4 linked regions of the Drosophila melanogaster genome follow. The protein of the gene in region 1 interacts with the protein of each later gene in a pairwise test. Each region holds a gene or a part of one and is shown in the gene's direction. Other genes may lie near its edges.

Evidence for each region.
Region 2: the proteins of CG31523 (region 1) and peg interact in a two-hybrid assay, tested with the Drosophila melanogaster proteins (one large-scale study listed by BioGRID).
Region 3: the proteins of CG31523 (region 1) and mgl interact in a two-hybrid assay, tested with the Drosophila melanogaster proteins (one large-scale study listed by BioGRID).
Region 4: the proteins of CG31523 (region 1) and CG33258 interact in a two-hybrid assay, tested with the Drosophila melanogaster proteins (one large-scale study listed by BioGRID).

The regions. Positions count from the first base shown.
Region 1 is NT_033777.3:4,474,895-4,483,494, reverse strand, and holds the start of CG31523 (uncharacterized protein), read left to right. Parts: upstream 1-4,287; 5' UTR 4,288-4,433; exon of another isoform or gene 4,434-4,862; intron 4,863-8,068; exon of another isoform or gene 8,069-8,243; intron 8,244-8,600. Other genes in the region: sac (sterile affecting ciliogenesis), read right to left, coding at 1-2,676.
Region 2 is NT_033777.3:21,016,925-21,025,898, reverse strand, and holds peg (pegasus), read left to right. Parts: upstream 1-1,735; 5' UTR 1,736-3,200; coding exon 3,201-3,228; intron 3,229-4,314; coding exon 4,315-4,494; intron 4,495-4,594; coding exon 4,595-4,629; 3' UTR 4,630-4,855; downstream 4,856-8,974. Other genes in the region: Dhc93AB (dynein heavy chain at 93AB), read left to right, coding at 403-535, 716-880; Rlip (Ral interacting protein), read right to left, coding at 5,692-6,454, 6,885-7,769, 7,825-7,957, 8,025-8,121. UniProt on the Drosophila melanogaster protein: Increases short-range diffusion of the wingless/wg protein, enhancing its signaling and expression of target genes required for wing margin morphogenesis. May act as a serine protease inhibitor since it possess the Kazal serine protease inhibitor signature.
Region 3 is NC_004354.4:9,495,721-9,504,258, reverse strand, and holds the start of mgl (megalin), read left to right. Parts: upstream 1-4,129; 5' UTR 4,130-4,385; intron 4,386-8,069; exon of another isoform or gene 8,070-8,283; intron 8,284-8,359; exon of another isoform or gene 8,360-8,538.
Region 4 is NT_037436.4:16,079,160-16,086,168, forward strand, and holds CG33258 (uncharacterized protein), read left to right. Parts: upstream 1-3,391; 5' UTR 3,392-3,432; coding exon 3,433-3,565; intron 3,566-3,619; coding exon 3,620-3,930; intron 3,931-4,000; coding exon 4,001-4,315; 3' UTR 4,316-4,479; downstream 4,480-7,009. Other genes in the region: Mbs (myosin binding subunit), read left to right, coding at 1,600-1,686; CG13075 (uncharacterized protein), read left to right, coding at 4,877-5,009, 5,079-5,401, 5,456-6,019.

The DNA.
Region 1 (8,600 bases):
CTCAAATAGCTCCTGCCGAAATTGCAGAGTTTGGCTGACCTTCTCGAGCTCCTTAATCAGAGCCCACGTCTTCTTAATGTCCACTGACGTCTCCTGTGCGCGGTTCGTGTTAAACGCCAGTGAGTAGGCCTGCACCTCGTCGTTGAGGGACTCCAGACGCTCCTCGAACGCTTGGCACTCGCTGGCGTGCAGGCGGAGAAAGTCCTCGATGTCCACCTTCTGCTCGTCCTTCAATGTCGATAATCGCACCATTATCTGGTGCGGCCATGCGTACACGTTCCACTTCATGGCGAACTGGTGGTCACTCAGGTTGTAAAAGAAGCTATCCAGCAGGTCGTACTCCAGCCACATGACCTGAATGTCAGCCTTAAGCTCATCCACTAAATCCGGAACAGTCTGCGCAAAGTCGCGAATCTCGTACAGGTGTTCAATGCTAATCGGACGCTCGGCGATTCTGCGGAACATCTCCAGGCAACGGTCCAGCAAAACCTCATTCGTCTCATACATTCGGTCCACATAGTACTCGAATATCCGTCTCACGACTTCAATGCGCTTCTTTATCATGAACTGCTTCATTGTATCCACGTTTATGTAAAACGGTCCAATAGTAATAAAGGCAGGCAGGATTTCGCGCAGTTCCTCCTTCAATCGCTTGTTTTCCAGAATGTCCCGCTTTACCTCCGAGGACGGCTTGTGGGCTTGAGCATATGCCTGCATATAGGTGTTTACATTGAGAAGGTAAAAGTCGATGAATCTCTCGTAGAGTCGGGCGTACGCCCTGAGAGGCAGCACCGCCTTGGCGTAGCAGTTCTTCAGAAGCTCATTCTCCCTCAGGAACCTATCCTCGATAAGCTCCACCGTCAGGATATACAGGTTAGGGGCGAACTTCAAAAAACTCATGACAGACCCATCAATGCATCTTACTCCAGACGATTTCTCCAGGCACTTCTTAAAGATCTCGACCAGCCCCGGCTGGAACTCATCCGGGTCAGTGGAGTAAAACACCTTGCGATCCTCGCTGATGCCAAGGGTCATGGCGAATACAGGTTTTTGAAAGGGGAACTCGGTGTCGATGTAGTTATTGGTCCACTTGTAGTTGGACTTCAGTTCAAGGAATTGCAGGCAGGGGTCGCAAACGAAATGCGAGAAGTTCATCAGCGACGTCTCGAGCAGCACCTCCATTGACTCTTGCATACGGAACTTGACCTGCAGTATAAACCGCGAGATCTTGCACATGAGATAGACCGTCCAGGTGTTGAGGGAGATGTCCAGCCAGCCCTTTCCCAGGGCTCGGAGGACCACGGTGATGACCGTTGTCAGCTGTTGCGGCCAATAGACTTTAAGAAACGTGGCCACGTTGTCGCTATGCGCCTCCTGCGCTTGCAGGAAGTCCACTAGCGCCAGGGGCTTGCTAAAGCTGCAGATGAAGATCGAAAGTGTTTCGATGTACTGGCACTCGATGGCCACTCCGGCCATGGCCTCGATGCCACCGACGCAATAAAACAGACTGGCCTTCAGGTAGTCGTACCGCTTCTCCTGCATGGTTATGCCAAGGGCCTGCAGTTCAAGACGCTCCTTCCCGGAGACGTCCACGGCGAAAGACCGGGGCAGAAATTCCTTGAGGTTGATGTTCCGAAACTGGGGAAATTCCTTGGGCATCTTAAGGATAAACTGCTCCAGCTCGTATAGGGCCATTAGGCGCTCGAACACCAAGTTCACCTCGGAGCGTAGTCGTCTTTTGCACTGCTCAGACACCTTAGCCGCCTGCAGGACCGATTCGATGGGCTTAAAGCTATAAAACACGGTGGACTCAATGTCCTCGTGCAGGACACAATCCACGATCAGCTCCATCAACATAAGCTGCTCCCCCTTGTGCCGCTCGTGAACAGCGGCCTGCAGCCGCTTGATGTACTTGTGCGGGTCCTCAGCCATGAACATGAACTGAAGCTTGGGTACCGTGTAGGTGCATCCGTCCTCCAGCGATAGAAGCGTCCAGAGGTCGGAGTCCTCGTGGTGCGCGGTAACAGCTGCCATGCCCCACTGGCAGTTCAGCAGGCTTTGGTTGTAAGGCAGGTACGCCTTCGCCGGAAGCGGGTAGTGCGCATCTCCGACAACTCCCAGCTCAAACCAGGCCGCCGGAGAGTTGATGTCAAAGTTGCTGTCGTCGAAGTAGCTCAGGGGAAACTTGTGTGGGAAGGCGAACTCGGACATTACATTATACTGCTCCTCGGTGGGCTGCAGCACGTCGTCAGTGAGGCCCGCCTTGGCCAGCTCATTCACCAAGTTAATCTTCTGGTACTGACGACGCCTCCGATCCACTTCGACGTCCTTTGGAAGATGCCGCTTTGGCACGTAGCGGGTCTGGATCACTTTCGGCAGGATCGTGGGCAGCGGAAAACGGTGTGCCTTGCCCATCTTGTCCATCAGAGTGAGCCATCGTTGGGCCTCCTGAATGGGGTAATATACATCAGTAAGCTGATTCCGCGGAATATATAGCTCCTGATAGTTCATCATAGTCGTTCCCGGTCGGGGCGGCATGATGCAAATAGCTTTCTCAGCCTCACGCTTGAATTGACTGTCATCCGGGCCCTTGTTGCTAATTGAGCTGGTGCTGCTCTCATCGAATTCCTGGGAACCTTCATAATTTTGTCCCACCTCTAAGTTCTCCGGATCCATATGAAATATATTGTTAAAGTGGATTTAAATGAGAAAGTGGCGTTCCTTTCAAAGCAGTGTATTTGTTGATTGTTACAAAGCCCGAGCATTAATTACTGCTGTTTAGTCAAATTAAACCAAAAAATTCGATTTTATAAAATTAATGTGAATATGGCGGTCTCAGCAATATTTAATATTTTTATTAAATTATATGTAAACTATTTTATTTCCAAAAGGATACATTGACTTCAGTAAGGTGTTTGCATCGCAGTGAATGAGGCATTTGCGACCATATAAAGCTCACTTTATACTTTCTTGATCAGTATGAACAACCGAGTCGAAATAGCCATATGAACAATCGAATGTAAAATTTGGTCGTTTAATTTGGTATACATTTTTTACTACATTTTTTTAATTTTGAACAATCTTTAATTTCAATTTCAAGCTTCCGTTGTTGTTTATTCATTTTTTATTATTTAGCGCACTTTTATGAGAATTATTTTTTTTGCCGTAAAAGGTTTTACTAAATTCGATAAAGGTAAAAAGAAGCATTTCCGACTCTATAAAATATAATATTCTTGAACAGGCCAACAAGCCGCCCCAAACTACGACGCTAACACGCAAGACTTCACGAGACTTTCACTGTCACAATTACAAAGTAATTTGATTGTAATGCGAATTTCTATAGATATACCATTTTGCAACATCTCGCTCGCAGTAATGCGAATTTCTATAGATATACCATTTTGCAACATCTCGCTCGCAAAGTCGAGGAACCCTCTGACTTTTGTCTGTTTTTCGTCCCTTATAACACCAACAAACCGCCCAAAACTCCCACGCTTTTGAAAAATTTTTTAAATAGTTTATTTTGTTTTTTAAATTTCCTTCGATCTGCTAAAAGAATGTTGGAATTTCTCATTCGCACTTAGTATACGACTTGAGTAACAGGACTTTTAAAGTAGGGGAACTCGATCTTGTTTTGATTACAAGAAATATTAAAAAACATTTAACATTCTACATTCTCTAAATATCGTTTTTATGATGACAATGCTAAATAATGGGTTCCGATAATATCGATAAGTACCGAATTCTCGAAATTCGGTCACTCTTTCCGGAACGGAATCCACAAAGATCATTTTGCCTCGTCTCAGTTCAGCCTTTTTAGATTTTCCATAGCCAGATCTAGATTATCTAGAAACGGAACAGCCAGAACTAGATTATGTCTAGCTCAAATTATTTGGTAAAGAAATCAAATAAATCAAATAGTTAATTTAGTGTAGAATTAAACATGCCAAAAATTACAATCCTGCCACAGAAACCTTTATTTAAAGTTAACTACAAGTTCAAAGAATATTAACGGCCTGTGAAAAGTATTCCCCTCGCAGTCAATTTATGCTTTTGCATTTCATTTGGCTGAGGGTATACGGGTATAGTCGCGACGATCCATATTATTTTTCTGTTTCCTTGGTACCTTCTATGCAGGTTATCAAATCACAAAGATTTTACGCACAATATTATTTAATCTGTAATCCCTATCACAGTCCTTGCGGGCTTCAAATAACCTAAGTCGAGCTTTAAAAATGCTAAAACGGCAACACTCGTGCCAACATTCTGCTTAGTTGCTGCCAACCCAATCTAACATGTTCGAAGTTGCGAGACCGTTTTGTACAAAAATATATTTAAGCGACTGGCAAAACGCGCTCTCTTTGTTGCTGAACGATTTCACTCGCGTCGTCGTTTCCCAAGAAATCCGAAAGATATGGCTAGTTGACTAAGAAGTAATTCGATATTAATATATTTTTTTGGAAGCGCATATAGTTTTATTGGGCTAGATCGCATTTTCTGCATGGTGAAGTCCGTTACGATATGTTGTCGGATATATTTTATGTGCGGTGAGATCCAACGCGGTGTTTGTGTGTGTCTTTTGTTGGCGTTGCTGTTGTTTGTAGCCATCGCCATAGCCATCGGCATCGCAGCCCGCGGTATCGAAGTTTCAGTATCAAAAGCATCGGCAGCCAGCCCAAGCTGAAACTAGTCGATTGTTCAATTCCCAAAAGCGCGGGCCCTTTACACTTGCGTTCGTTCTCCTTCGCGAGTGTGTATTTGTGGCCGTGCACAAGTGCATTTGTGTGTGTGCACTCGGGATTCCTCTTCCATTCCAATCGCCGCTCGACCCCCCCCCCCCCCTTCCACACCATACCTCGCAGGTGAGTATCGCCACAGCCGCGAAAGCATTTTCCAGCTGCTCCCCACCCTCGCCTTGCGATTCGGTGATATTAGTCATCACCGCCATTGCCTGTTTGTTCATGGTTTAATTAAAAAAGTGGCGGTAGTCCACTGTTTCTTGCTCTGCTTCCCGCCACGCCCATTCGCAGCGGCAGCGTCAGTAGGCGATGCCGAAGAGAGTCGCCGTGAAGCAACAGCCAACTAAAAGAGCAAAAGAGCTCACACGTGTCGGTGGCTAAGAGAGAGCGCACAGGGGCGTGGGTGCCCTTCGTGAGAGGGATGAATTATTATTCCAAAGGATTGCCCAGACTTGTTTTCATAGATTCTCTGGTAACCTATTCGTACTTTAATGAATTAAATATTGTTTATTGGATTAATCTGGTTCTATGAAGTGTAAAAAACAATTGACCCTTTCGGTCTACAACTGTAATTCATGAATCACTTATTCAATACAATTTTATATTAAGTAAATTTTGTTGATAACAATGGAAATTATATTGTTGACCATTGTTTCCCAATCGAGATAAAAAAATTCATTATTTGAGGAATGCGGGTATTAGCAGTAGGTACTTCTATGCTACTTCGAATACATAGAATATTTCTTCTTTTTAGTGGTACAACTTCTTCCGTATGAGAAGTATTTTAGCAGCAGCTTAGGTATAGCAGCTAATTCCTTATCCTGAGAACTGACTTTAAATAGTATTAAATAGCCGAACGCATTTCGCTGTCTTCATTGTCTACTGTGTACCTTTGTTGGGTAAGGAGTGCAGTGGTGTGCCGCCTATGTCAGTCAATCAAAAAGTTTCACCTGTCCGCCGAATGCGGAAACGTCGAGAAATGTAGTTGCATTCGCATTTTTTCAGGTTTTTAGGGTCAGCCAACGAGTGCGCTAAATACTTCGATCAGAAATTTATGTATGTGTGTATGTGTGTATGTATGTATGTATGTATGCATATGTATGTATCACCTGGAGAATGTGGTGCGGCATCAATTACCGCTGGCCGGTGGTCAGAAAAGCGAACCTGGAGCTACGTAGAGTCAAGGGCTTTCGCAAATAGATTGCAACAATGCAGTGCTAAAGTGCTAATTGATCGCTTTGCACCTTGGCCCTCGCGTATAGTTATTTGGCTGGCGCGACTGGCTTAGACTCAGTAAACACATTATCTGCTTAGATTGCTCAGAAAACACATCAAATCCAAATATTCATTCGCGTTTACACGGCAAATCTCAAGATTGTGTCTCATTGCCGGGCTTCGATTTTCTCAGAAGAGAGGAGCTATACAATCGGCTGGCTGTATCAGTCACACCCACAAGCAATCTGAAATTATTCGGGCCAACATAAAAATTCGGCCAAAGTCCATGAGATCTTGGTTATAGAGATCGCATGTATTAGTCCTCTGGTTTATATGTACATAGGTGCTCGCTAATATGTGTTTTGGCAGCGCATGCTTAATAAGCACTTTTGGGCTCTGCTATTATGAGGAAAGTTTTTTAACCGGTTTGTCCTATGGAGAAAGAAAAGAACAATGACATCGTACGGGTTCTCTGGCCCCTGAGACTCTCGTCTGAGACTGAGATGCTTGGCCACGATCTTCGTACCATTCGGGGTTAACACATCGTGGGCATAATCATTCGATGGACAGTGACAGCATCGTCAGAGTCAAGAGAACTAGCCTCACCACCTGTTGCGGTGCTATAAAGACAAATGTGCCGTTATCGGCGGTGAGATGGACAGATCCAATTCATGATGGTAATGCGAATCCAGCTATCGTTCGGTTAGGAGGCAAGTCTATGATAAAAGTTTATTAAATGCTTTTGGCATACTTAGGCTCCAGAGCCCTTAAGTAACAAAAGATTTGATATAGCGGTCGATATAACCTATATCTTGAAATATATAATGATCATAATACGCCAATATAAGGATTATAATTCCAAAGGGAAAAGTTGACTAGCGACTGTGATGTCTGGCAATGCAGCCAGTATTTAATTTTAAAAGTATTATTTTTACAGTTATTAGTTTATACAGCCTTTGCCTAATAATGATATCTTATGAATTATATTTAAATACCAAATGAGAACTGTATGGTCGAGTTCCTTGCCTGTTAGTCAGCTAGTAGATGTTTAAGCGAGAATCTTTAATATTATTTTGGCATATCGATAGAAGTGTTACATACATACTTCCCAACGAATCTACTAGGCTATACTTTACGAGTAATGGTGCTCTAAGAATTTACCTCAAAATGGTAAATCGCCTTTATCCTGCATGGTTAAACAAAATATTGTAGAAGAGATGCAATGCATACGAATTTTCGAAATAAAAGAGCACTTTGATATCTTTTGGTAAATGTAACTATATATGTTATTTAAAAAGAAGTAAAAAGCTATAAGTACCATGTACTCACCTTTCCAGCAAATAACATCATTAATATTACAATATTACCGATAGATACCCATTGACCGTCTGCAAGGGTACACAAACTTCGGCTAGTCGAAGCCGGCTTTCTTTCCCGTTTCTTTTTTCGACATTGACGGGACCTACTCGTATACATTTCGCACATTAATTTCATTTACCCAAAGATTCGGACAGTTTTTCTCTGTCGCTTGCTGTTGTCTCTCTCTCATTTTCCCCAGCCTTTCTTTGTGCGTTTTTTGTTTTTTGTTTTTTCTTTCATTGTTTTTGTCGGGTTTTACGTATTTTTGGAAAACTTACCACGCCAGTGTTATGTAAGTCGACCCCTCGATCTCAGCGGCTTCTCCTCAATTTAGAATGCCCGAGGCAGAGTCGCAATAAAACAATAAACAAAACCTCCATTCCTGACACCCGTAACCTATGCTTTGGGAACTATGCATGTGCATAATTACACATCGATGTATTTAAATGCCATTAATGCAGTGCGGCCCTGCGATGGAAACTTTCATCGTGTGTTTCAGCAGCTCGGTCGGTTTTCCGTGGGGTCTGACCTTCCCGAGCAGCCAAACAAATTACAAGTGCACACACATTAATCGGCCAGCCGACCTGAGGTCGTCAGGTGGGAGCGGTCCGCGCGATTCACTTGCGCTTTCGTTTCAATATATCCGACCACGCTTCTGGCGATCCAAGCCAGTGATCGAGGGCCGCCGCCTTTATTTGCTTGCGAGGAGATCGGAATCCCAAGTGTCTTGTGTGGCCTGACTCGATATTTTCAAGACGAGCACTCACACAATTCAAAAAGCATCGCCGCGATTTTCGAAATTTCGTCATTTAAATAAATTAATATTTATTTTTTAACAACGAGGACGGAAGATAATAACACCTTCGCAAATACAATATTACGATATACAAAACAAACAGAAAACAAAACAACAAAACCCAGGTATCTAAGGTATCTAAGAAAATACTTATAAAATTCGCAAAACGAAACAGATATCGCAATCTATCTCCGCACAATATCACAATATGGAAGGACTTTAACCCCCAATTAATTAATGCCGATAGCACTGTTTCTGGCTCCAGCCAACCGCTTATAAGGCAGCTAACTTATAGTTACGATTTTCTTCATTTCTCCCTTTAACCCCATATTTTTGATTAGGTTTTATATATAGCTGGTAAATTTAACGAGAACAGAAAAAAATAATAAGGGAGCTAATCGCCTATCAGATAGAAATAAGCAAGACAAATGATAATATAAAACGATTTCAAATACATTCACAAAATTCTTGATGATTCAGTTTTGAAAAGT
Region 2 (8,974 bases), about 17 Mb from region 1:
GCTGCGGCCAATGGCCAGCGAGTGTGTCTAAAAATAGGCACAGTGCTATTTCATAAGAGCTAATTTTAAACCAGCACTGGTATATAAATATGTGAGACTTATTAATAGACCGCAAATTACAATTGTCTATTTACCCAACGACTGATTGGGCTGATGAGCTGATGGGCTGAACGGCTGATGAGATGATTGCTTATTAAGTGGCGCCCCGCCAGCCACGTTTCACATGGCGACGCTGGTGGGAGAACAATGGAGATCCGTCGCGCCGTCGTCGGAATTAATATGCATCTCTGCATGGAGATTAGCATCGACACCCGCCCCCTTTAGTTGGCTCTGGGCTAGACCTGTGGCTATCTATAGCTACGATTATAGTCGCGGCATCTGAGATGATCTTGTAAATTGCAGGACGGCACCGCGCGACGGCTGCTGCGTGCATGGGATCTTCATGGAGGGCGCCAGGTGGGACATACAGCAGGGTATCATCATGGAGTCGCGCCTCAAGGAGCTCTACCCATCCATGCCGGTGATCAACATTCGGGTGAGTTGGAAATGCAAATCGGGCAAATGCTAAAATCCGCAAATCGGCGAATCGAGGGCGGATCTGTGGCGTCTCATTGCTGGCGCATGTTGGCATAAATTCGAAAACTAGATTCCACTCCATTATTCTACTACACTGAATGCGAATCCGATTCAATTTAACCTCGTCTATGTACCGCAGGCAATCACCCAAGATAAGCAAGATCTGAGGAACATGTACGAGTGCCCGGTCTACAAGACCCGCACCCGAGGCCCCACCACCTATGTGTCCAACTTGAATCTGAAGACCAAAGACAAGCCAGGCAAATGGATCCTGGCCGGCGTAGCGCTGCTCTTGCAAACCTAAATGGCTAACTGCTTAATGCTTAACTTAACTTAGTTATCTAACTTAATTTAGTTCAAACGATTTCGTAGTTCTTTTCTAGTTCACAACGTAGAACAATAATAGTCATAAGCTAGACCAATGTACCAAGTTTTATCGTAGACTCCAAGTTTGACTTTCGATTTATTTATTAGAGTGCACCGTTTTCATAATAAAACACCTCCTAAGTAGACTTGCCTTAGGCGCACTAGCATAAAACCTAAAAGAAATACCGAACTTATTTTGACTGGAATGGGGATTCATTGTGGTATATTGATACTCGTAATGCAGATAGGTAAAACAGAACTTTATTGTTTTTGCCTTGACTTAATTTGTTTACCATGCAATTGTTTACATTCGGTAGGTAATACCCCGTGGAAACCACCATACCACCAATTGATAATGTTTTTTCGTGGCGAATGCGACTTAACGCTGCCTGCGTAGTCGGCAGCTGATAAGTCTGAAAATTCCAAAAATCTTAATGGAAATGCTAAATCCAATGCGTCGCGTATCCATAAATAACAAGCGTAATATACATACGTATCTGTATCTGGGGGGAAGCAGCATCAAAGAAAATTCATAGACACTGCTGAGTGGAGTGAACTCGTGGCCATCGCAAACTGAAACAAATAATTTTCATATTTTTTGCCCTGCTTTCTTTTTTTTTTTTCTTTTATATTTTTATTTCGTCTTATTTGTACTGCGACAACCTGACTCTCCCGCTCTATAGAGCTCTCAGATTGCGATAAGCGTGTGCCGAGTCTGTTCGGAAATGCTGACGAAATTTTGAACGATTTTCGAAGCATCGCGAGCATCTCAGTATTGAGCGGTACGTGAACCAATTGACAGCGGTCAGCGATGAGGAGCAAACTTTTTAGTGACTGCATAAATACATGAATAATTCAAACTCAAAAAACCCAGCAGCAACAACAAGCTGGTCCACGACAACGTGACCTGCCTGTAGAGTTATCGATCAAACGACCGGCCCGACCGATCCATCGATCCACCGTTCTACCGATCTACCCATCCGATTTCGGAGCCCTGCCCCGCTTCATCTGGTGTATTCCGGCCCAACTAACAGCAGCCGCATCCATCCATCCCAATACCAAATACAAAATACAAAATACAAAATACCCAATAACCAATACCCAATACCAGAGGAAAAAACACAATAAAACAATCTGAAATCAGAAATCAACTACAGGCGAAATGTGCGGAGAAACAAAAAGAAAATTAAAGACGACGACACGAGCGTAAATCTTTTTAGCATGAAAAAATTCTATAAAACTAACAGGCACTGTGTGGTCGGACATCATTCGTGCGCTACGACGGCAGACGACAGCCGCAGATACAGATACAGATACGGATACCGAGATACAGATTCAGATACCAAATACCGAGATACAGATAGCCGGTCGGACGGACAGGGCCTGATTGATTGATTGCCGAACCCGGCCCCATCTCCTGCCCAAAAAATCCAAAATCAAAGCCCAAAACCAAACCCAAACCAGACTCAAAATCTGTCTGCATCAAAGTATCTGCAACAGCAACAGCACAGTCATCCCAGCATCCAACCAACATCTAACAGCGGTCAGCATCCGAGCATCCCAGCATACCAATACCAATCCGATACGAATCCCAGTCCCAGCGGACATCGTCCAGCCGCCAAGCCATCAATCAGTCAACCGAGTCACCGCGTCAGTTAGTCAATCGAATCGACTAGCCAGCCCACTCGACTTTTGCTTTTGCTGGCTGGAGGATATCTTCGGTCGGCGCTTTAGTTTCAGTTCGCATTTGGACGCGTGCTGTGCGGCCTCGCCGATAGAGAGATTCGGATCGGAACGGAATCGGAATTCTGAATTCTCAGTACTCAGCTCTCAGTACTCAGTGTTAAGTTCTCAGTTCTCAGTTCTCAGTACTCAGTACTCAGTTCTTAATTCTCAATTCTCAGTTACGAGCTCTACATTCTGAATCAGAATTAGAATTAGAATCAGAAACGAAAAAGAATCGTGCGCGAATTAATCTACAACGTATCGAGAACCAAAACACTGCCGCACACACGTGTCTGAAGTTCAGTGACAAGCCCCAAATCAGGCGTCTATATTCCATTGAATATATATAAATCGTGAAATCGTAAAACAATTTTAATCAGCTAGAAACCAAGCGCAGGCACGGCATAATTAATTCGTCTGACCCGCAAAGTTCTTGCAAAGTAAATACGATTGTGCAAAGTGTTGGCCATCGCATCGATAAAGTGAAAACTACTCCTACAGCCAATCCGAAAACTAAACCAACTAGTAACAACATGAAGCTCTCAGCAGTATTGTTGGCCAGTAAGTACATATATAGTTTAAACTAATTGGTTAGAAAGATCACATGAAACACCGAAATTCACGTTGCTCACTGAATCATATTTCGCGACGTGAGATGAAAGAAAAGCAGGATTTATGTGGAATTTTCTGTCATTAAAAGATAATTATTTTCCCTGGGGGTTCATTTCTGTTTAATTTGAAGAAATTCCAAAGATTTTTATGTTAAATAAACATATTTACGACCCTTTCTAAGAAAATTTGGTAAGCTTTAGATTTAATTTTTATGTGTGCCAAAAATGCGAGGTCAAACTAGTGTATATACAATTCATTTGGCACAGGGTTTAACATTTAAAGCATTCTTATCAATAAAAAATAAATAAATCAATTTCAATTGCATAACTGAGCGACTCTCCTTGAAAACATTTAAATCGCATTCATTAATTCTTCAAAGTACTATATTAGGGGTTTTCCCGAAAATATATTAAATTGTATACAATTCAATAGTTTTTCATTTATTAACTTAACTCATATTTATCAGCATAAATAAATGTATCTTCATAACGCTTCCGAGTCTTGCAAATGACCCACAAAGTGGAGACCCTAAACTGCTAAATCGGGTGAAAGGACACTAAAACTAACATAGCTTACATAAAGAAAATGATTTCGGAATACAATGAAGGGTATTTTGCACAGGCCCAATGAACTTCATTCATATGCAATCGCAAACCTATGAATGGAAAATTTCATACTTCGATTGAGTCATTGGGTTAGACACCCCAGCAACGCAGTTGGGTAGTGGGGACTTGGTTTTGTTGCGTGCCAGCATGGCTAATTGGGTATGCAGCGCTAATTCCAGGGTACGTCAATCGCCCCTCCTCCCATAGGAAAGTCAGGCACTCCGATTCGTTGGCATTGCCAGACGCTCTGGCGTCGCGGAGAATCGATGGGCGGATATGGGCGATGTGGTGGGGATGTGATTGTGGGTGATATCATGGGCGATGGGCTGATCAGGGCACTTTGTATGCGGGTTGCCCGGTTGGCGGGCAGTGGTTCTTTCGCACGCCTCCTGCCTAACTAATTGGGTCTGATGCCTCCATCTATTTATAGTCGCGCTGCTTGCCCTCTCGCTGGTCCAGTGCCTCGGTCTGCCCGATCCCAGCACCAAGTGCGTCATGGAGTGCGACACGCAGGAGTACCGATCCATTTGCGCTGCGGACGACAAGGGCTCCACCAAGACCTATCGCAATCTGTGCGTGATGAAGACGGAAAATTGTCTCCAGAATGCAAGTAAGTGCAAGGGAATTAACCCACATTACTACCATACATTTTTTTTTATTTTATCCACAACTGATTATTAATTAAAATCCCTTTCCGTGCTCTTCCTTAGACTTTCAAAAAATCAGCGACAAGGAGTGTCCGTAGAGCTATGGATCCATTGATCTGTAGTCCAGCGGAAATAACTTAATCATGGAGGGGAGCGAGTTGACGCGGTTTGGCATTCCGGAGGACTCATCTTTCCCCCGTGGTATTTGTGTGTGATATTTTTAAGTTGTACTTCAGCGGAATACAGAAAACACGCCCCGAACGTAATGCATAATGATAATGTATTCTAAAATTATTAATAATAAATATTAAATAAAGTAATCGTAACACGCAAAGCCCACCTCGGTTCCTTGACCATCACAATGTTGACAAGACGTAATATGAGATGATGTCATTTCCGTTTCACCCCAGCGAACAGCCAATCCGTCGTCTAAACATCTTCTAATCTGTGCCCTGTATTTCTCGGATTGGAATTAAGTCATCAGACCGATTTAGAAAATCGGATCTTGATTGTCGGCACACACAAACGCAGCTACTTTACCGGCATTTACAAAATTCTTCGAGGAGACATATTTCGATGCAATAGTTCAGTACAGAAAAGGGAATTTTGAGTTTGTTTTCTCATTTAATTGTTGAAAGCAGTAAAGTTGTCTAACAAGATTTCTTTGGGGCTTTGCGCCGTTTAACAGTAATTATAGTTTGAACAAAGCATTTGATCGCAAGTAGACATTGAGATTTAAAATTGGTAACCCTATATACATACATATATTTCGGTGGGTCAAGTCTGAAACTAGCTCATTTCCAAATAAACAATAAACTGACTTTAGGCATGAGGAATCCGTTTTATGTTTTAGCAGTATTTTATCTCCTTAAAAGCTGAACTGAAAATTCTCATATATTGCAATTCACAAAGGACACTGTTTAGAACAGTGACTACGTTTGCAGATAAATGAATTATCAAAAACTTTACAAGTTTATTCATTTGAATATTTTAGATATGTGACATAGAATTGTCTTCTACGAATCTAAGAAACCTCCTATGATTGCCTAGTAGACCTTTTATGTTTCTTTGGAAATGTGACCATTAAGTTTCCGGAATAGGAACTTAGTTATATCCCTCAAATTGACCCATCCAAGTAATACATTAATCGAATTAATACATTAAAACTGCTGGAGCCGCAGCTCAACTTGTAGAGCAATACAGGCCCGTCGTTCCTCCTTTAGTTCCATGCCCAGCATATTCTTCTTGTGCTCCAGCAGCGCATTCTCCCGTGTATAGTGCTCGATTATCCGCTCATAGTCGGATTCTGGGGGAGCCTGAGATCCCGAGGCCAAGGAGGCCATTTGACTGTTTATTGACTGCTGCTCGTACAGCTGCTTGAGCCTATAGACTTCGTTGCGCTCGGCGACGATACGTGCTTTTAGTTCGTTCTGCCATTCCATTAGCTCGTCATATTCAATTTGGAGCCGCAGCAAATTTTCGCGGTGCGGATTTGATTTGGGGAGCAAAATAAAGCCAGTGCTGGGATCAATAGTAAAATCGTTAGGAGCATCTTTCGGAGTTAGTGTATCGGTTTTTGGCTCTTCCTGGGAAATACTGTTGTTCGTAGATACGGCTGGAGTTCCAGCTGGTTTGGAGTCAGTGGTATCTTCACTGGCTACAGCGGGCGGAGCACTGCTGCTGTTGTCTACTTCCTCCGCAGTCTTTTCCTGTTTCTTCTCAAAAGTTCGTAGTTTCCGCTTCAGCTGGGTAATGATGCGCTGCACTTCCCACAGCTGTTCCTCGCGTTTCTTGGTAATGAACCCGGCGTTCATCTCGCTGTGGATCTGGGACAGGAGGCTGTCCTGCTTGCGCAACTCCGTCTGGATGTCCTCCGGCGTATCCGGAAGCTTTGGGCTGGTCGATGTTAAAGGGGGCACATACCTAAGAGATGACAATTTAGTATTATGATAACTTTGTTTAAATGTGTGCCATTCTGCCTGATTAGAAAACTGGCGAAACGTGGAAAGCGCTTCTGTTTACGGGGTAATGTGCTCATCGTCGGTTGCAAAATAAACGACTAAATCTGGCGATTTTTATAGCAGCAATCTTATCAACTGCCAACAGTGGTGGGAATTATCTGGGTTCTTATAAGTACCTATTATACATATAAAAAAACAATTTATATCATTAGATAAATATGGAAACTAACAGTTTACTAAAACTAACAGTTTAGTAGTTAACTTCAGAGCTATGACTTCGATTCGTTCTTGTGATTTAACTATAGTTGTTAAATGTGGACTTCTCTTTTACCAACACAAAGGTACTTGGATATTTCCCACCACTGTTATCCGGCTAGCCGGTGTTTGCTCACTTTATCAGCTGGACGTCCGCGAACAAGTTGTTGCAGTGGCAGAGTAGGGCCACCATTAGTCGGTGAGACATCTGGAGCGTCGGACTGAGCAGCATAGCCAGCGACTGAGCGTTGAGCTTATTGTGTCTTTCCTGCTGGATCACCGCGTCGAAGTGGAGCAGCACCCACGCCAAGAGGGTGCGATTGCACTTGGGCAATTGTTCAAGCAGCTGCTGCAGCTCTGCCTGCTGCGTGGTTACCTTCGGATGAGAGGCTACCTCCTCAAAGCGGGCCACCAGATCGGTGGTCAGCAGTGGCTCCGGCAGTTCGCGCAGGAAGAGCTTCAGCAGACTGCAGGCGGTAGGCAGGTTGAGCTCATCAACGGCGGAGTCGTGCTCCCGGTTGTTGTACAACCGCTTGAAGTGCATCAGACGCGTCTTGATGGGCTCAATCTTGTAGATCTGCTCACACTTCAGGTGATCCTGCAGGAAGTCGATGCAGTCGCGCACAACCAGGGGAATGTCCACGCCGTCGTGGCAGCGGGATCGTTCGGTCGCCAAGCTAACGGACACCCCAAAGACGGGATACCCAAGTGCCAGCACTTCCTCCGCGGCGGAGACGTCGTCCTGCTGCTGCGACAGCTGCTTGCTCTTCTTATCCTTTTTGTCCTTCTTGTCAGCCTTCTTGTCCTTTTCCTTGCGCTTCTCCTCCTTGTCCTTCTTCTTGGGCTCATCACGGTCCTTCTCCTTATCCCGCTCTTTCTCCTTGACCTTGTGGGAGACGGAAGGCTCCTCCTCTGCGTGCTTCGAGTCTTTTTCAGACTTGTCCCGCGACTTTTCCCGCTTCTCCTTGCTCTTGGAGCTGGTGAACTTAAAGGTCTTTGACTTTTTCGACTTGGATGGACTTCTGGAAGTAAAAGAAAAAATATTACTTGTCTCTGGGTCAGCTGACCTGCACCCACTTGGTGTCCAGCTCCTCCTCCGGCGAGCTCTCGCCCTCCAGAGCGGCGTATCCTCGATCCTTGCCCTTTTCCTTCTTGTCCTTGCGCCGGCCAATCAACAAGTCCTTCTTGCTATGGTCGTGATCCTCACTAACTGTAAAGGCAAGGTGAGCCCATTGATTTTTTCCCAGCTTACGCCCACATCTTTGCGCTCCACTCACAGTCGCTCTCCTCCTTGCTCTTCCTCGACTTAGCGTCCGCCGCCTCGGAGGCGTACAGCCCGGGAAACTCCTTCTCCTCGGGACTGTCAAAATCCATCACGAATAATCACTTCACCAGCAGTAAATAAATATAAACAATTGCCGTAAACAACATATGCAACAAATAATCGATTGCTTAATCGAAGTCGCCGCTGCTATCCAACACTGATAAGTGCACAGATGGCGCTACTGTGTCATGTAAAAAATATGTAGTAACGGTGTAGATATTTAAAAAAAGGCAAATTGAAACAAGAGAAAACGCTACAGTCGAGTTCCTCAACTATCAGAAATGCGATCAGCTACTAACTCTTAAATTTTTATAATATTAATATATATATATATATATATATATAATAAATAAATAAATAAATATGTGTTAATATATAATATAATAATAATAATATTTTAAATAATTTAAATTCTAAGAAAATATTTTTTATATATATACATAAACTACATAATACATAAAACTTCCAAAATGACAAGAGTACCACCTCTGTAACTACAGGATTTTGTTAATTGTGCGCGCTAGTGTGGGCGTGGTGAAAATGTTTTTTCACAAGTATACAAATTGCCAAGACTATTTATAAAATAAAACTAAATCAAACCATTTTTTCAGGGTGGGGCTGTAAAACTATAAGGCGGTTTGTTAACTTCTAAACTCCCAGAAACCGAAACCAGAATACAGCGATGAAAAAAAACTATTCGTTTATTAGTTTAAGTAATATTCATATATATATATGTATATATATAAAAATTAATAAGTTTGCGATACAATGTTCTTAATTGGTACGGAAACGCTTCCTTATACCTTTTGCATTCTTTTTACTTTACGAGTAGGCGGTTGTGTAGCAAATAAGTTAATCAGTATAATTATTTCACGACCAATCAATCCCGCGGTGCATCGCTTA
Region 3 (8,538 bases), on another chromosome or scaffold:
TTCGGCTTTTGTGTGTGTGTGGCATGTAACGTAGTGCAATTCGATGAAATCGAATATTTGGAAAAACTGTCTCGTTTAAAAATCATCTGAAAGTATTCATTCATATTTTGCAAACAGTACTTGTTCCTTCTTTTTTTTAGTGCACATATAATTGGTTTTTTAAATTTGCTAATATTGCACAATTTGTTTTATTTTCTTCTCTATAAAATTATAGGAAAAATGTAATTAATTTAGGTTTATATTTACAAAAGATTTGGGTATTATTTTTGCACCCTTGATTAAAAATGGAAATATGAATTGAAGAGATCGCCGCACTCTCAAGTCGTTGAAGTTTTCTTTTATATAAGTCTCGATGTTGTTGTTTCTCATAGAGTGTACACATAAACATAGGATATATGTCCTCGTCATAAATATATTTAGAATGTACATAACAAAATACTCGAATATTTAATTTACTCTCTGTGTTCCTCTATTCGAACCGGAAACGAGTTTGCGTCTTCTTAGCACTCCAGGAAAATGAAGGAAAATGCCCCAATTTTCAATATGAAATGGGTGGAGAATTAAAGAGACCCGTAACTAAAAATTTCCCTTTCCTCTAATTTGACCTGAGCAAAATGTCGCTGGACGACGAAGGAAAAATACAAAAGATGTGTGTAAAACAAAACTAGAGAATTTTTTTATTATTAAACATAGTCAAGGATAATCAACACGAGATGATGGAGAATTTGGATGATGATGGCAAAAATGATGATGAGAATGCAAGGATGTAAAAGATATATTTATAGAAATGAGCTATATGTATACATAATGACAGATTGATTATATGATTATATAGTAACTTATTGTCACAACGCAAGAGCAATCAATGTTTAACTTTATTAAATGTTACAAAGAGTTTTAAATATTAAATATACTTAATGAAATATATACAGATATACCTATATATTGCAGATTATATTCTATACATATAATTTGTAGGTGAAGCTGAGATGAAAATGAATAAAAAATACTAGTCGTACTCGTAGTTCGCCATTATGTTTGCCAAAAATCGGAGATAAATGTAAGAAAAGTTGTGTCAGCCATTGCAGAAATTCGAGGGAAATTATTGTATTTAGCAAAAGGTTTTCCAGAATCTCATAAAACTCCATTTGTAAATCTATTGTACCCGCCAAATAAATAATCGTGAACCACAATCCTTATATTCAAAATAAGCAAACCACAAAAGAAGAAATTTTGGAAAGGCACGGTTTGAAAAAAAAAACCGGGCTGGCACTCTTTCTAATTTTTTTTTTGTTAGCATTTATTTCAAAATCGTTATTTCTTGTGTCTTAGCAATAATAATATAATTAAAATGTGTGTGTCGCTCTGTAACTGTCTCTATTGTGTTTGAGATTACTCGTATCTTATAATGAATATTATTACTAAACTAAAGCAAAAGTAACAAAAAAAAAGAAAAGAAAAGTAAGAAAGCAAAAACGCAGGAGACGCGGAATGGAATCCACAACAGAAATTAAAATTACTAATTAAAACGATTACTTACAGTAGACTTAAGAATACAATGATTAAATAAAGAAAACGATTTCCTTACATTAACATTGGTGTAACATTTTTCGGAAAAGCTCTTTTGGCTTAACAGAAGTTGTTGAAGGAAATAGAAAAGCTTTTAACGGTCACTTTCCCAAGTCACAGTAACACTGCTTTCTGCAAAAGCTTAAAGCTTAAAAGTGTTAGCTTTTTGAAGCTGTTAAAAGTCGATATTATAGGTTTATTTTGGCTTAAACCAATAAACCAGAGTGAAATGCTGGCTAAAAGCTGTGGTCGTTTAAGCTTTATTTTTAAACGGATTTCCGTTTTTTTTGCTAAGCAAAGGTTATTTTTCCCCTGGGTTACGTGGAAAATAGCTTGTTGAAAAAATATAACATCAGTTAACCAACTTGTGTCGTGTTAACGTGTCAAACTTTTCCAATTACTCACATGCACTTGGGCTCACCCAAATAATTTACCTTATATCATATCCGTTGCATCCAGTTACATATCCGGAACAATAGTTAAACCAATTTCGAGATTAACAACACGATTAGTACGTATAGTTAATATCTACGTGGTTTCTGATTATTCAATAAATAACTTAGGAAATGTTATGGTTGGTGGGGAATTTCTTGAAATAAAAACTTTATTATTTTTGATATAATATTTAAACATATTTTGATGTATTGGCTTAAGTTAATAAGTTCGCATATAATTTGTGTAAGCCAGTCATTTATTTGAATTGCGATCAAGTGTGCAACCTTGGCGCACTGCCCCCCACTCGAGAACATGCTCTACGGCTGTTTAAACTTTGGAGATGGTTAATAAATTTATTTTGTTTATTTTCGGCCGGGTCACGCTTTCCCCAAATGACCCTCGTCATAAAACGCGCGAGAATCTCTGGGTAAATATAAATATAAGAATTGCACGCTTTGGTTTTTGTGCATGAAAAGTTTACTTCGCATTTCGGTTTCGGCCAATTGTTTTTCTTGGCCCTATCACCTTTCACTGCGAAATATGTCTAAACGAGAATGTTTTGTGAATCCATTAAGACGCAATAGAGAATTTTCCTATAGCTCGTAGAGCGTTCGGTGATGTCTCCGCAGCACTGGATTGGAAATGTATATATCTTTCTACTTGGCCACCTGATAGGCGAAACAGCTTTTCCCCTTCGAAAATCTCAAATTGTTCAATTCCGCTTCCAAGAATGCGGAACGGCCAGCAGGCGGTCAGGCAAAAGTTTTTAGGAGCCGAAACAGCTGTTCATTTGGCTGGTGACTGACTTGCTCTGCAATTAAAGCGATTTTTTTCGCGGAAGAAGGCCCTATTCGAATAGTTTGGATACACTCGAATTCTTGGGAGTAAATATTGAAGAACTTCTTCAAAATTCTCCTGCTCAGTTCTAAAACCAAAACAATGGGATTTACTTAGGTTCCGTTTCATATGTGTGTGAGTGTAAGCTTGTACTTGAGAACAAGTGCGTTTATTTTTAGCCGAGTATTGAATTAATTTTCGTACGGACTTGTAAAGGAGCTTACATTATTTTCGTAGAGCAACCTGGCAACCTGTTGAAGGGGCTTGCAACTCGAACCGCGTTCGCTGCCAGCATCGAGCACGTTGCACGTGGCAAGCAGCAATTGTGTGTTTACTCAATATTCTCGGCGTGCCGCAGATTGTGCCTTCCAGAAAGCAAAATAAACAAATAAAAGTTCCATGAAAAGGTATCATTTGTCAAGCGACAGCCGACAAATGAATACACATATGCATGTATGTATGTATGTATGTATGTCCTATGTACCCAACGACTTAGCGGCTTAAGTAGCTGCTCTAAATAATAAATTCAATTGTAATCAGAATCGTTTATGTAAATATTCAAATCGTCAATTTACCCGGACAGAGAGTGAGATAGAGAGAGTGTAAGAGTGTGACGTGGGGGGGGGGGGGGGTGGAATTGTCCTCCAATAATCCGCGAGGCAAGCAAAAGTCTGGGAGGGGGGGGGGTGGCAGGTGTAGATAAGCACCCCATTAAGACAACAATAAGCTCAACAAGTTGTTCTGGAAAACTGTCAATTAGAACCACCAACACGCACTGTGGCAGCAACAATTGTTCGAATGAAAACACAACATGCTGCATGTTGCACGCTCGAACATAGCCTTGCCATGGAATCGATGTTGCATCAGAGGTGTAGATGGGGGCTATTAGGAATTGCAGCGTAACTAAATAGTATTAGAACTTAAACGCAGAGCAGAGAACAAAGAAATGTGCACTCCGAAGCTGCGGAGTTCTCAAATAAAATGAAGCTAGCATTTTAGTAGAACTATTACTTGCTATTAAGTATGTACAATAATCTCAATAATAAGAACTAAATAATAATAATGAATTGGTTTGATGATGAAGCAAGCTCCTTGGGCAGTCATGAGCATACCAATGCAATTCTTTCGCTCTCGAAAGCGGCGCCTCTGTTTGAAGTCGCACTGCCTGTGAGTAGCGGCTGCAACGCAACATGTTCGATGGTTCGATGGTTCGAAGGTTCGATGCCTTCGGTTTTGGTTGGGCGGCGAGTGGGCTGCGCTAGCATCCGCTGGTCAGTCGCTCGCGGAGCGTCGTCGTGAACGGTCAGCCAGCGCGGCTAATAAGTAACCAACTGTAGTGACAGTGCGATAGTGACTCTGATCCGAACCCGAATCCCAGGCCCACAACAGATACGTCCAGCGTGTGGGCAGCCAGAACAGAGTGACAAGAATATCGGAGCCGACAACAACAGTAAACTGAAAGATAGAAAGAAAGAAAGAAAGGCCAACCTGCCGATTAAATTCCAATTGAGTGTTACGAGTTTTTTTTTCGAGTGAGTGCGGCGGTAAATATTTCGATCTTCTTCCCTTTTTTTTTTTTTTGCTGTGCCACCAACAGAAACCGAAAAATGCAAAAATTAAAAACCAATCAGTGAAAATCGCCAAAATTGCCAAAATATCAAATAGAAAAATATGGAAAATAGTTGAATCGAAGAAACGCAGACCGCAAAAATTTATAGAAAGAAAACAAACACACAACACACACACAAAGAAAAAACAAAAGGGGCAGACAGAAAGAAAGCGCTTTTATTATTTTATTTAACGATTTTTCTTCTTGCAATTTTTATTTTGCACACTTTGTTGTTGGGTCAGTCAGTTGGCGGCTTTCGCCACTTTACGAGCAACTTCCTTTTTTGGCCGGAGAAAAACCAGTCTGGCCAAGAGACCAAAAGACCCCTGGCCAAAAGACGTCGGTCGGTGGGCACCAAACACTGCGAATGTAAACAAAACAGCAGCAAACCGTATTTGTTTATGACTCGGCTTGGCCAGGATAAAGCCCAGAGACTTTGAGACCAACTAAATCCCACACCCCCAACCGCCAATCCCGCCCTCACCAAAAATATGATTTGCTAGCATTTCCCCCCATTCCCCGGCCGAGATTCTCAAGTGCGAGAGTTGCAAAAAAAAATGTGGTCCCCCCTCCCCCCTTTTATTGCCGCACCGCGTTGAAACGACACCCGGTGAAAGTTTCCCAGTCGCAACTTAGAACTCTCTTCATTTTCGGGTTTCTTTATTTTTTGCTTGATAAATGAGTCGCTGGCATAGCCCCCGGGGCGGTAAATCATCTCTGCTTGTGGCACTGACAATTTCACAAATTTATATATTTGCCACAACAACCGACCGAAACACTCACAGTCGAAAGTTTTCCACTTCGAGTGCAAATTTGACTGGCTTGGAAAAGTCCAGGCGAGCAAATTGGCCAGAGGTGTTGCCAACGAAAAAAAAAAAAAAAAATGAATTGGTAACGAAAACAATTGACGAAATCGGAAGTGACAGCATGATAGTTCAAGTTCAAACACGCATAATAACTTCATTGAAAACTGTAAACTTGAGAGTAAACAATAGTTTTCAAAGATTTCACGAAGTGTCTTCAGTTCAGCATATTAAATATACCCAAATACGGTTTCAAATTGACATAGATTAGTAATTTAACATAGGAACAGTTAAAAAAGTTAACCAGCTGGTGTGATAATATCTATGAAATTGTTGGTTTCTGGAACTTGAGAGATTCGCAAGTTCTAGCAAGCAGCGGTTGTTAATGCATATGAATACGAGACATCGAGCAATTTCGAAGATATTCCACGCCAGTTATCGCCCCCCCCGCCAGTAACTGGAGGCCAGCTCTAGCTCCCATTTTTAACTGGTTACCCCGCTCGAGAATTCACCATGTCGGCTCTCGGTTTTTTCCTTCGCTTTTCGCTTACTCCACACAACACAAATCGAATTGAATGGCAATCTGGAATATGCCAGGCAGATCCAATTGCATGCCACATATGCAGATGTAATGGGAGAGTTGGCCCACTCGCCACCCCCTTGTAAGCCCCCATCGAAACACCAACACACCCCCCCCCCCCCGGCCGCTTACAAAAATTAAGCCCCCTTAGCCGCCCCGCCAACTGTACCGCTGATCTGCTTGCCTCATTGCCGGTTAGAAAGCCAATGGAACGAGTTTCGTTGAGTGTGCAACTAATTTTCTAAATTGTTGTCGCTGCTGATCGTTGAGCGTGGCAAAAAAAAAGTAAATAAATAAAAAATACACACATTATTTATATGGCCAACGTCGCACAAAGAAATTATCTGTCACCAACATTGGTCATCAATTTTGATGGGTTTTCGGCGTCTAGAATAAGCCCTTTTATCACTGACGTTTTAATCAGATCTCTTCTTCAGAAGTATACAAAATCACGGTATGATCTTGCTTGAAGATGATTTCATTTTGCTAAAACGTGTTTTAATTCACTTTTAAATCATGAATCATAAATATAGGTATTTATGTGACTATTTTATATAGGGTAATACGATAATACAGAATCGTATATACGTACGTACTTTTGTAAAATAAAAAAAATTTAAAAACGGAATAATAAAATGTATATTTATGGAAATTTTTGAACGATGGCATATTTAAATAGATAAATAATTATGAGAGTGTGGGTGATAAGGCAAAGATTTTAGATTCAAAACCATCCATTCATCATTGCGAAGATCGAACTGTCATTTTTGCGATTGATTGATTGAATTTTAATAAAAGTCTTTGAAGTCGGACTTATTTATTATTTTTTTTTTTTATTGGGTTTTTCTTCTCTTGCGAGTGCGTCGTCATCATTTAATGGTGAAGATAGAAGAAGAATTATCCGAGCCCATAGAAGGCGAAGAAGAGGAAGAAGACAGGGCTAAAGAGACAGAGCGAGAAAGAGAGTAGGAGAAAGGGAGAGAGGGATAGAGAAATGTTAATGGATTAGGAAGCGAGCTCAAAAGGCAGCGTAGAAGAAGAATCGAATCTCGGCTACTTGCGACATTAGCCCTCTCCCTCCCACTCCCGCCCGATGAAGGCGGGCGCGAAAGAGAGGGGACGAGAGGGAGAGCGAGAGCGGAATTGAATGGCCAAAGGAAAGGTGAAAAGAGGCAACTTGGCTTAGACGATGATGATGACTGTTTCTTCTGTTTGTGTACGTATGTGTGTGTGTGTGTGCGGACAAACAGGTATCACGCACACACCTACAGACACACTCACACCTGTGCGGAATAACTAAGCAGCGACCCGATTTTCAACAGAGAGCCAGTGAGAGAGATAAGAAGAGAAGAAACAGAGCCAAGAATCCGATCCATGCCATGCGCCTAAAACTATTACAAATCTATAACAAATCTACCACGAATCTACAAACCACAAGAGATCTTTTCACAGATCAATTTTATTGGGATTATTCAAAAATTTCCAGTTTCTGTAGTGGGGTGATTAAAGGAACCTGCATATATGTTAAATGTTTCAAGTCATTTCATTTCATTTTTATTTTAATATTTTAAATCACATTTCTTGTGACACGTGTTACTTCAAAGATTATCCATCAATGTAATTTGTTGATAACTTATCTTTTACATTAGACAATAAAATAAATTGCGTTCCATTTAACAATCAAACGATTTGGTAGTAAAAAGGTATGAAACTCCAACGATATTATGACTACGTTTTCGTTTTGAATAGATAAAAGTGCTTCTGTTAGCTTTCTGATTCTTCTAATTAGTTATTTCAATTCCGATTGATGGAGTTATATTCTTAGGCTCTGCCTTGCATACATAGTATATCTCTAAGCTACATATATATATATAGGCCGAAAACCAATATGCAAAAACCAGAAACAAGTAGTCTTCATATGTAAAACTCTGTTCTCATTAAGTTCTGGACAGGTCATAATGATGTTTCGCCCCGTGTCGTTCCATCGTTCGCTCTGTCTCTTGTGTACTTGGATAAAATAAGATTTTTTTTGTGATTTTGCCGGTTGCCACACCTGAAATTCAGCTCTCTCTCCCTCTCTCTCTCTCTCTCGCTTGCGCCAACGCAGCAGCAGCAAGAACAAGAACGACCAAAACGAAAGACTTAAACGACATACGTGTCTCGCGCTGACGTCGCCGCTCTCTCTCTCGCTCTTTCTCTCATCCTCTCTCGCTCTCTGATTGCTGTGTTTTTTTTTTCAGTTGGTTTCCAAAGGCGCGCCGTCGCAGTTCGAAAACCGCGGCTCTCGCCAGCAAAATAAAAAAAAAAACAACAGCAATTTAATTTAAATAATTACAAAAGAGTCTATTTAAGAAAAAACCTTCTCGAAGAAAGGCAAGAAGAAAAATGGCGCGCGTTCAACAAAGAGAAAATTAGAAACGAAAACGATTTTTTTTTCAAGTGCTGACAAAGTTTGTGTTTTGTTTTCTTTATTTTTTTTGTTTTTGTGTTTGCCCTTTTGCCTGTTTCGTTTTCGGTGTTTCTGTTTTGGTTCTGTTTTTTTTCCATATTTTCTCTATTTTACCTGTTGCATTGGCCTGCCACCAACAACAACAAGAAGAAAGCAACAACAAAAGGATATATTAAGAAAATTTGTAAAGAAAAGTGCCAGCACAAGGATTTTTGCTCTCTCTCTCGCACGATGCTGCTCTCTCGCTCACGCTCGT
Region 4 (7,009 bases), on another chromosome or scaffold:
GATGTCGTTAAAAAAATTATATGGATATTTAAGCATAACCGAAAACACAATAACTAAATGTATCGTAGCTAAAATTAAGTTCACATTGAGCTCATTGGCTTTGGACTGGTCACTGGTAATATAAAACTTTAACAATACTATATACTACTACTCCTTGGGAGTTACTATATACTACGGGCCCTTTGATAGAATGGCAATCGTCAAAAGTAGTTAATTTTTTAATAGTAAAATATTAATCACACGCCTTGTTCGTTTTTGGTAATCTACGAAAATCGCTAGGTGCAATTGTTTCTAATTTGAAATCATATTATATGGTTACTACAGACCACTGTACGGTTGATAAGTATTTGTAAATCAAAAGTTAGCCCACTCTCAAATCAAAATAAAGCTCATCGAAACCAACGAGATCAAACATCAAGTCCCCACCACCAAAAAAAAAAAAGAGAAGAAAAAAAAACAGCATCGGCGATTAGCGGGCCAAGGATCTGGAGTCTTCATATAGGGTCTCCCACAGTCGATCATCGGGGAGAGCGAAGTGGTCTAGTTGGTGATGCTGGATGCTTAACGGTAAATGCCCCACCACTGACACTCAATTGAGCCATTCTATGAACCTGCGCCCCCAATATTATGAGCTGGCTGTTGTTTTGTTTTTATACACATACTACATATGAAGAATATAATAAAATATATTTAGCTATAACTGTAACATGGAGTGTTTCAAACTGATGGAGAATGGTTGGAAATGACAAACTTTTCAAAATTGATATATTTGTTTCATTTGGATAGAAGGTAGAGAATTAAACCATTGTTTTAAAAAGTGGATAAGTTATGAAGTTGCTTTCAATCCACCTACATTTTGAAACACTCTGAATGTACATATAAACAATACTTACTTAATACTCTACTCTTTAAATAATGTCTATTAAACTATACTATGGATTTATACCTCTTGTTGTTACTATTGTTACCAGTTTTATCTGCCATTTTGTTTACCCCCCCGTGTGTTTTCAACCACAAAGAGCATCGACCGATTTTGAGTTATATATATATATATATATACATATATCTATATGAAATAAACAACATTTTTCTCACTGTCGATCTTATTCGATTACTGCGGTTTATTGTTTGAATACGCCACATTGGGTGGGTGTATATCTATGGAACACTCGCATCAGGCATCCAAATTCATGAGATTCATTAGACATTATATGATCGATTCCGATTTCGTCTATAGCTCGCTTATCACAGCACACAAACACTCGTCATAAAGATCACACGAATCAGATTTCGCAGAGACAATTATCTAAGCGCCTATGTTTCGAGTGTAGTTTTGTGGTTAAGTGCATGCTATCTGGTTTTATTCTCGAGATTAGGGCGTCCAGCTGAGTTCCATTTTTAAGTAATTACTAATTGTTTCTTGTTGTTTCTGTTGTTGTTGCTGCTGTGGCTGCGGCTACCGCATCCCTAATAGATTAACGAAGCATGCAACATGCACATCTAACTCAAAGACTTGTGCCTCTCCCGCCATAAACGTCTACCCATTGGGATATCTCTATAAACTGTACTAATTTGAATTTCATCTCATCCGTTCAACAGCAACTCGATGCCTACAAATCGGATAATCATCGCCTGAAGGAGGAGAACGCCGCGTTGATTAGAGTAATTAGCAAATTAAGTAAATGAAATTATGTTTTACTTTCAGTGTATGTATGTCTGAGAACCTATATCATCGAGAAGCAACAATTTTACTTTAGTTACCAGCTGGAAGAAGGCTGAAAAAGAATGAAAATGAATGTTAAAGCCAGCAAGCCGATGCAAGCGAAAGCCGGATATTCGCGTGAAAATTTCAAAATTTGTTTATTATTTGTGTTAGGCCGTTAAGCATTAGGTGAAACCATGTTTCAAATATCGTTGAGAATTGTTTTGTTCGTTTTATATAAAGAAATCTTATGTATTTGGTCAAATTTTATATACAAAATAGAGCAAATTATAAATAATAAACTTACACAAATCAAGCTTAACTATATTTACATAAGCATACGCAACGTGTATAACGATCAGAAGATCAAAAGAAATGAAATGGAAAGCGAAAACCTTTACATACAAACTGAGAACATAATCATCAAATGAGCCCTAGTTACATTACAGATTAGTTTAACTACATGATACATATAAATACATGAATATATATATATATATTTTTTCATATATAAATTATATATACACATTACATAATACATATATATTTAAAGCAACAGAATCATAAGTTCAACATGTCAATGTGTAATATCATCGAGGATCCAGACCGCCAGTTCATGAGACTCCGGAGATGTGTCGAAACCAGCCCACGCGTCAACTTACTAAGTGTAATCATTATCATCCAATTGTAATTGTTTTTAGTGCTGCACAGATAAAGGCATCGGTGATACCATCAAAAGCTATAGTAGCTACATATATAGTATACCCTTCAACTGAGGAGACAATTTCGCAAAAGCTCCATGGCGCTATCCTATAGATCGGGATGGGTTCATCACTGCGTATGCCCAATTATTTCTATTATATTGTTATTTGAGTACGTTAAGATAAGCAGACACTTTTAGTTCTCTCCTTCACTTCGAAACGTATTATATACATTTACATCGTACTATATTTTACTTTCGCTTATAACGAAACAAATGATCATACGCATATGCATATTTCTGTTATTTATTAAATTCGCCTAAGAGATTTTGTGTTACTCGTAAATGGAAACGATAATCAAGCATAAACAACCATAAGAACGTGAATTGTGTAATATGTAAAATTGTGTGAGAAAATATTTATGAAAATTTGATTCAAATACGAAACTTAATAAATGTGATCGCAAGCAAATCCACGTTGTTTTCCTTTCGACTTTCCATGGATGAATGGGCACTAAGGTGTTTCTCGGAGTTTTACTTATTTTCGCGTTGATAACATGCTGCCAATTCTTGTGAAGGTGATATCTTTTACTCAACGTATATCTTTTATAGTCTGCATTTCGTGTTTTTTATTTATTTGTTGATAAGATCAACCTTAAGGTTCACATGAGAAATTTATTTGGTACTTGTTGTTTTTTGTTTGTTATTCTTCGTCTTGTAAATAATAATCCACAAATCTGAAGATCGTGTTTATGTTATCATTCATGATTCATGATTTAAGTTAGCAAATGTGTGAAATGTATTGTTACTTACAAGTCCGCCCTTTTCAGCGTCGAAAAGCTTTTAATATTACTTTATTGATGTAAATTTACAGGTGTAACCAAATCTGACAAACAATACTATCAGATTTGCCATAAAAACGTCACTAAAAGTTGCATTTCCTAGCTATATAAGACTGGAAGTGCATTGAACGAAAACGTCAAACTATTTTGAGTTTTTACCAGGGAATCTACTGGAAATCCTTTGGAAAATGAAGCGAACTCTCCTGATTTTGGCCATAGTTTTTTGTGGTCTAGCTATTGTGAAGGCATTAGAGTGCCAGGAGTGCCTAGAGGATAACGATGTGTATTGTGTAGACCAAACTTCCTATAGGAATTGCATCAGTAAGTTTAAAATTAAGTTCCGGCAGTACTTAGTTCTGAAAAGATTTCATTTAGAAAGCAAGCCTTTTGGCAACGTGATAAGCTGCCCCGACGATACGGTTTGCACAAACTCGAAAAATGTTTGTGTGAAAAGCTCTGATCTAGCAGAATCTGAAGTCGATGTCTGTGGAACCTCCGGTGGAAACCAATGTGCAACATGCACAAATCAGAAATATACTTGTGTTAGCAAAAATCAATTTGCGAGATGTTCCGAATCGGTTGTGGTCGACTCAAACATCTATGACTGCGATACTGATGAGATTTGCAGTTCGGAAGCACTGGAAAAGTACGACAACATATGTACGCCTTCTTGTGTCCTCGATTTTGTAGGTATTCCTGGGTAACTTAATTATGTTGTGTTCTAGTCCTTTTTTTTTTTTGTTTTGTTTTTTGCAGCTCGACGTGAGAGCCACTTGCAGCAACAGTGAATACACGACAACAACTACCGCAGCACCGACAACTGTCACACCCAGTACAGAGCAGAAAAATAGTGCCTGTACTGAAGCTGAAAAAGATCTTCAAATACCTAAGGAAACCTTGTACTTCTTTACGATCTACAAGGAGGATACTTCCTGCCACACTTATCTCTACTGCGAAAGAACTGAATCCACCGAATGGGACACTGTTTATTTGTCCTGCCACCAACCCAAGCCATATTTCGATTCTACGACCAGCCTTTGCGTATCGACGAAACCAACGGGATGCTCCTAAATCGACTTATCAAATAATTTGCAAAACATACTTGCATACCACTACTTTTAAATATATATAAAATATTATGGGATTTGGAAAACATGTTTTGTTCGTTTATAATAACTGCTACTAACATATGTGTGCGCTGTGTATTGAAAAATAAAGCAAGTTACAAAAAATAGAAATAAAAGTTTAAACTTCAGATTTTATAAAGAAAGAATGTATTTCGAAAAGACATGACTCAAACGGTAACAGAAATGTCAATAGACCTTCAAAAATACCATATACATATGTACGATTACACTTTATGAACCGCATTTCCCGGTATGAAGTACGTAAAATTAAAAAGCATGTTGCTGTCATTTAGATCGCTTCAATATTACTTTATGATGATAGACTTTTGGCAGGCATAGACAACGAAATCTGACAAACAATATTATCAACCCATAAACAATTGAAGGTTAATGCATAGTGAGCTCCTCCGCTATATAAGACGGCAGATGGGTGGTTGGGATCATATCAGTAAATCGTTCAGGTTGAGCAGCACTACCGAAAAGGTGTAAAAACTTTGGCAGGAACATGCAGAGGATAATCGCTTTGGTGGCCATCATGGCGTGTGGACTATCGTTCGTGGCAGCTCAGTCATGTCAGACTTGTCTGGAGCAAAACGATGTGTACTGCGTTGATCAGAACAGCTATCAGAATTGCATGAGTAAGTCCTGGACCGTAGTCCTTTAATACCTAAAGTCCTTTCATGTAAACATTCTATTTCTTACCTCAGAAAATGGTCCAGTTGGAGATATTATCGAATGTCCTTCGGGCACCGTTTGCTCCAATTCTGATAGCGTTTGTGCTCTGATCTCCGAGGTAAATTCGACCATATTGGACGTGTGTGGAGGCTCTGGCGGAAATGGAGCTCAGTGCGAAGTGTGTTCCTCAGGCGCCAAATACGCCTGTGTCAGCAGCACCCAGTATGCCCGCTGCTCCTCCGCCGGCGATGTGCTGACCAGCAGTGTGTACAATTGCGGCACAGATGAGATTTGTATCATAGATGCTCTGTCGACGTATCAAACCGTCTGTGTACCGTCTTGTGCCTCCGAATTTGTAGGTTTTGTTGGACTTTAAAAATTATTCATACTAACATGTTATACCTTATAGCTTGGATTGGATGCCACCTGTAGCAACAGTATTTATCAGCCAACCACAACAACTACAGTGGCTCCAACGACAACTCCTAGTGCTGCGCAGAAAGAGGATTTGTGCAATGCTGGCGAGCCTAGTACCAATCCTAGTTACTTCTTTACCAGAATAACCGATGACTCCACGTGCAACAGCTACCTGTACTGCCAGAAATCTGGAACCACCTGGGTTGCCCTCTATATGACTTGCGGCGCCTCCACGCCGTTCTTTGATTCAACCACCAGCTCATGTGTGACAACCAGGCCGACCAGCTGCTCGGATACAACGACTCAGTCGCCCTCTGATTCTTCATCGACTGCTTCTTCAACTGAGTCCTCCTCCGAGTCTTCATCAACGACTGCTTCATCCACAGCTTCCTCATCAACGGAATCTACACCAACGACTGCGTCCTCGTCGGCTTCTTCATCTACGGAATCCTCCACCGAGTCTTCTTCCACGACTGCTTCCACCACGCAGTCTTCTTCTACGGAATCATCCACACAGTCTACCTCAACAACTTCTACGACTACTCCTACTCCTTAAGCAAACGATTTTCCGCCAGTTTTCTAATTAAAGCAATAATATGGTTTTTACAAACCTTCTAAAATAATAAAGCGATATATATTTGTAAACAATCTTTGATAGGCATTTAATAGGTCCGAAATAATAAATACGATACATTTGAAATTCGTCATTGGTGTTAAATCGTTCTTGGGATATAACTGGCTTTAAACATGACTAACATGAAGATCATGATCTTAGGCAGTATTAATCATCATCTAATGGAACTCACTTTTTGCTGGTGCGCATGCAGTTTGAAAAAGCCTCGAGATGTCTAGCATTCTATATGCCATGAAATACCATAGGATTATTAGCTGGAACCCCATAAACGGAGAAATGAATACGTATGAATGTTTCGTTTAGAAAATCTCGCGTCATATGCGTATGTGTATGTACATATGTACAAATCGATTTACGCTAAAAAGTAAAAGCATTTTCACAATTTTCATGTTGAGGACAACTCGCGATAGTGGAGACCTTGATATTGTGTGTGCATGCTGTGGCTTCTGCTTAGCTAATATTAATGGGTTAAGTTCTGTACATTGATGGCCGTAAACACTTGGACATAAACACACAGATGCGCACACAAGGCAGCGCAAGTCTAAATATACAAACGGATACAAACATATGCCCCCTCGAATATGATATTCCGAACAGACTCGCATGCCGCCGGCTGATTTATCTAGCGCACCCGGTTCGACGAGGGATACAATATATTCGAAATCCTATTTCATTGCTACTACTAGTACTGCAAACATTACGATCTACGAGATTTTTACAATAAAAATATTTGCTTAATTATCTTAATATTTCGCCGAGAGAATGAAGCATATACACATAATGCTGTCCCAGCTCCTCAGGCGCCTTCTGCTCCCATATGTCATTGGCAGCGATTGTCGCGGCAATTAAACATTAAATCAAATGAATTGCAGATGCAGAGCAGCGGGACTAGGAGCTGCAGGAAGGTGCTGG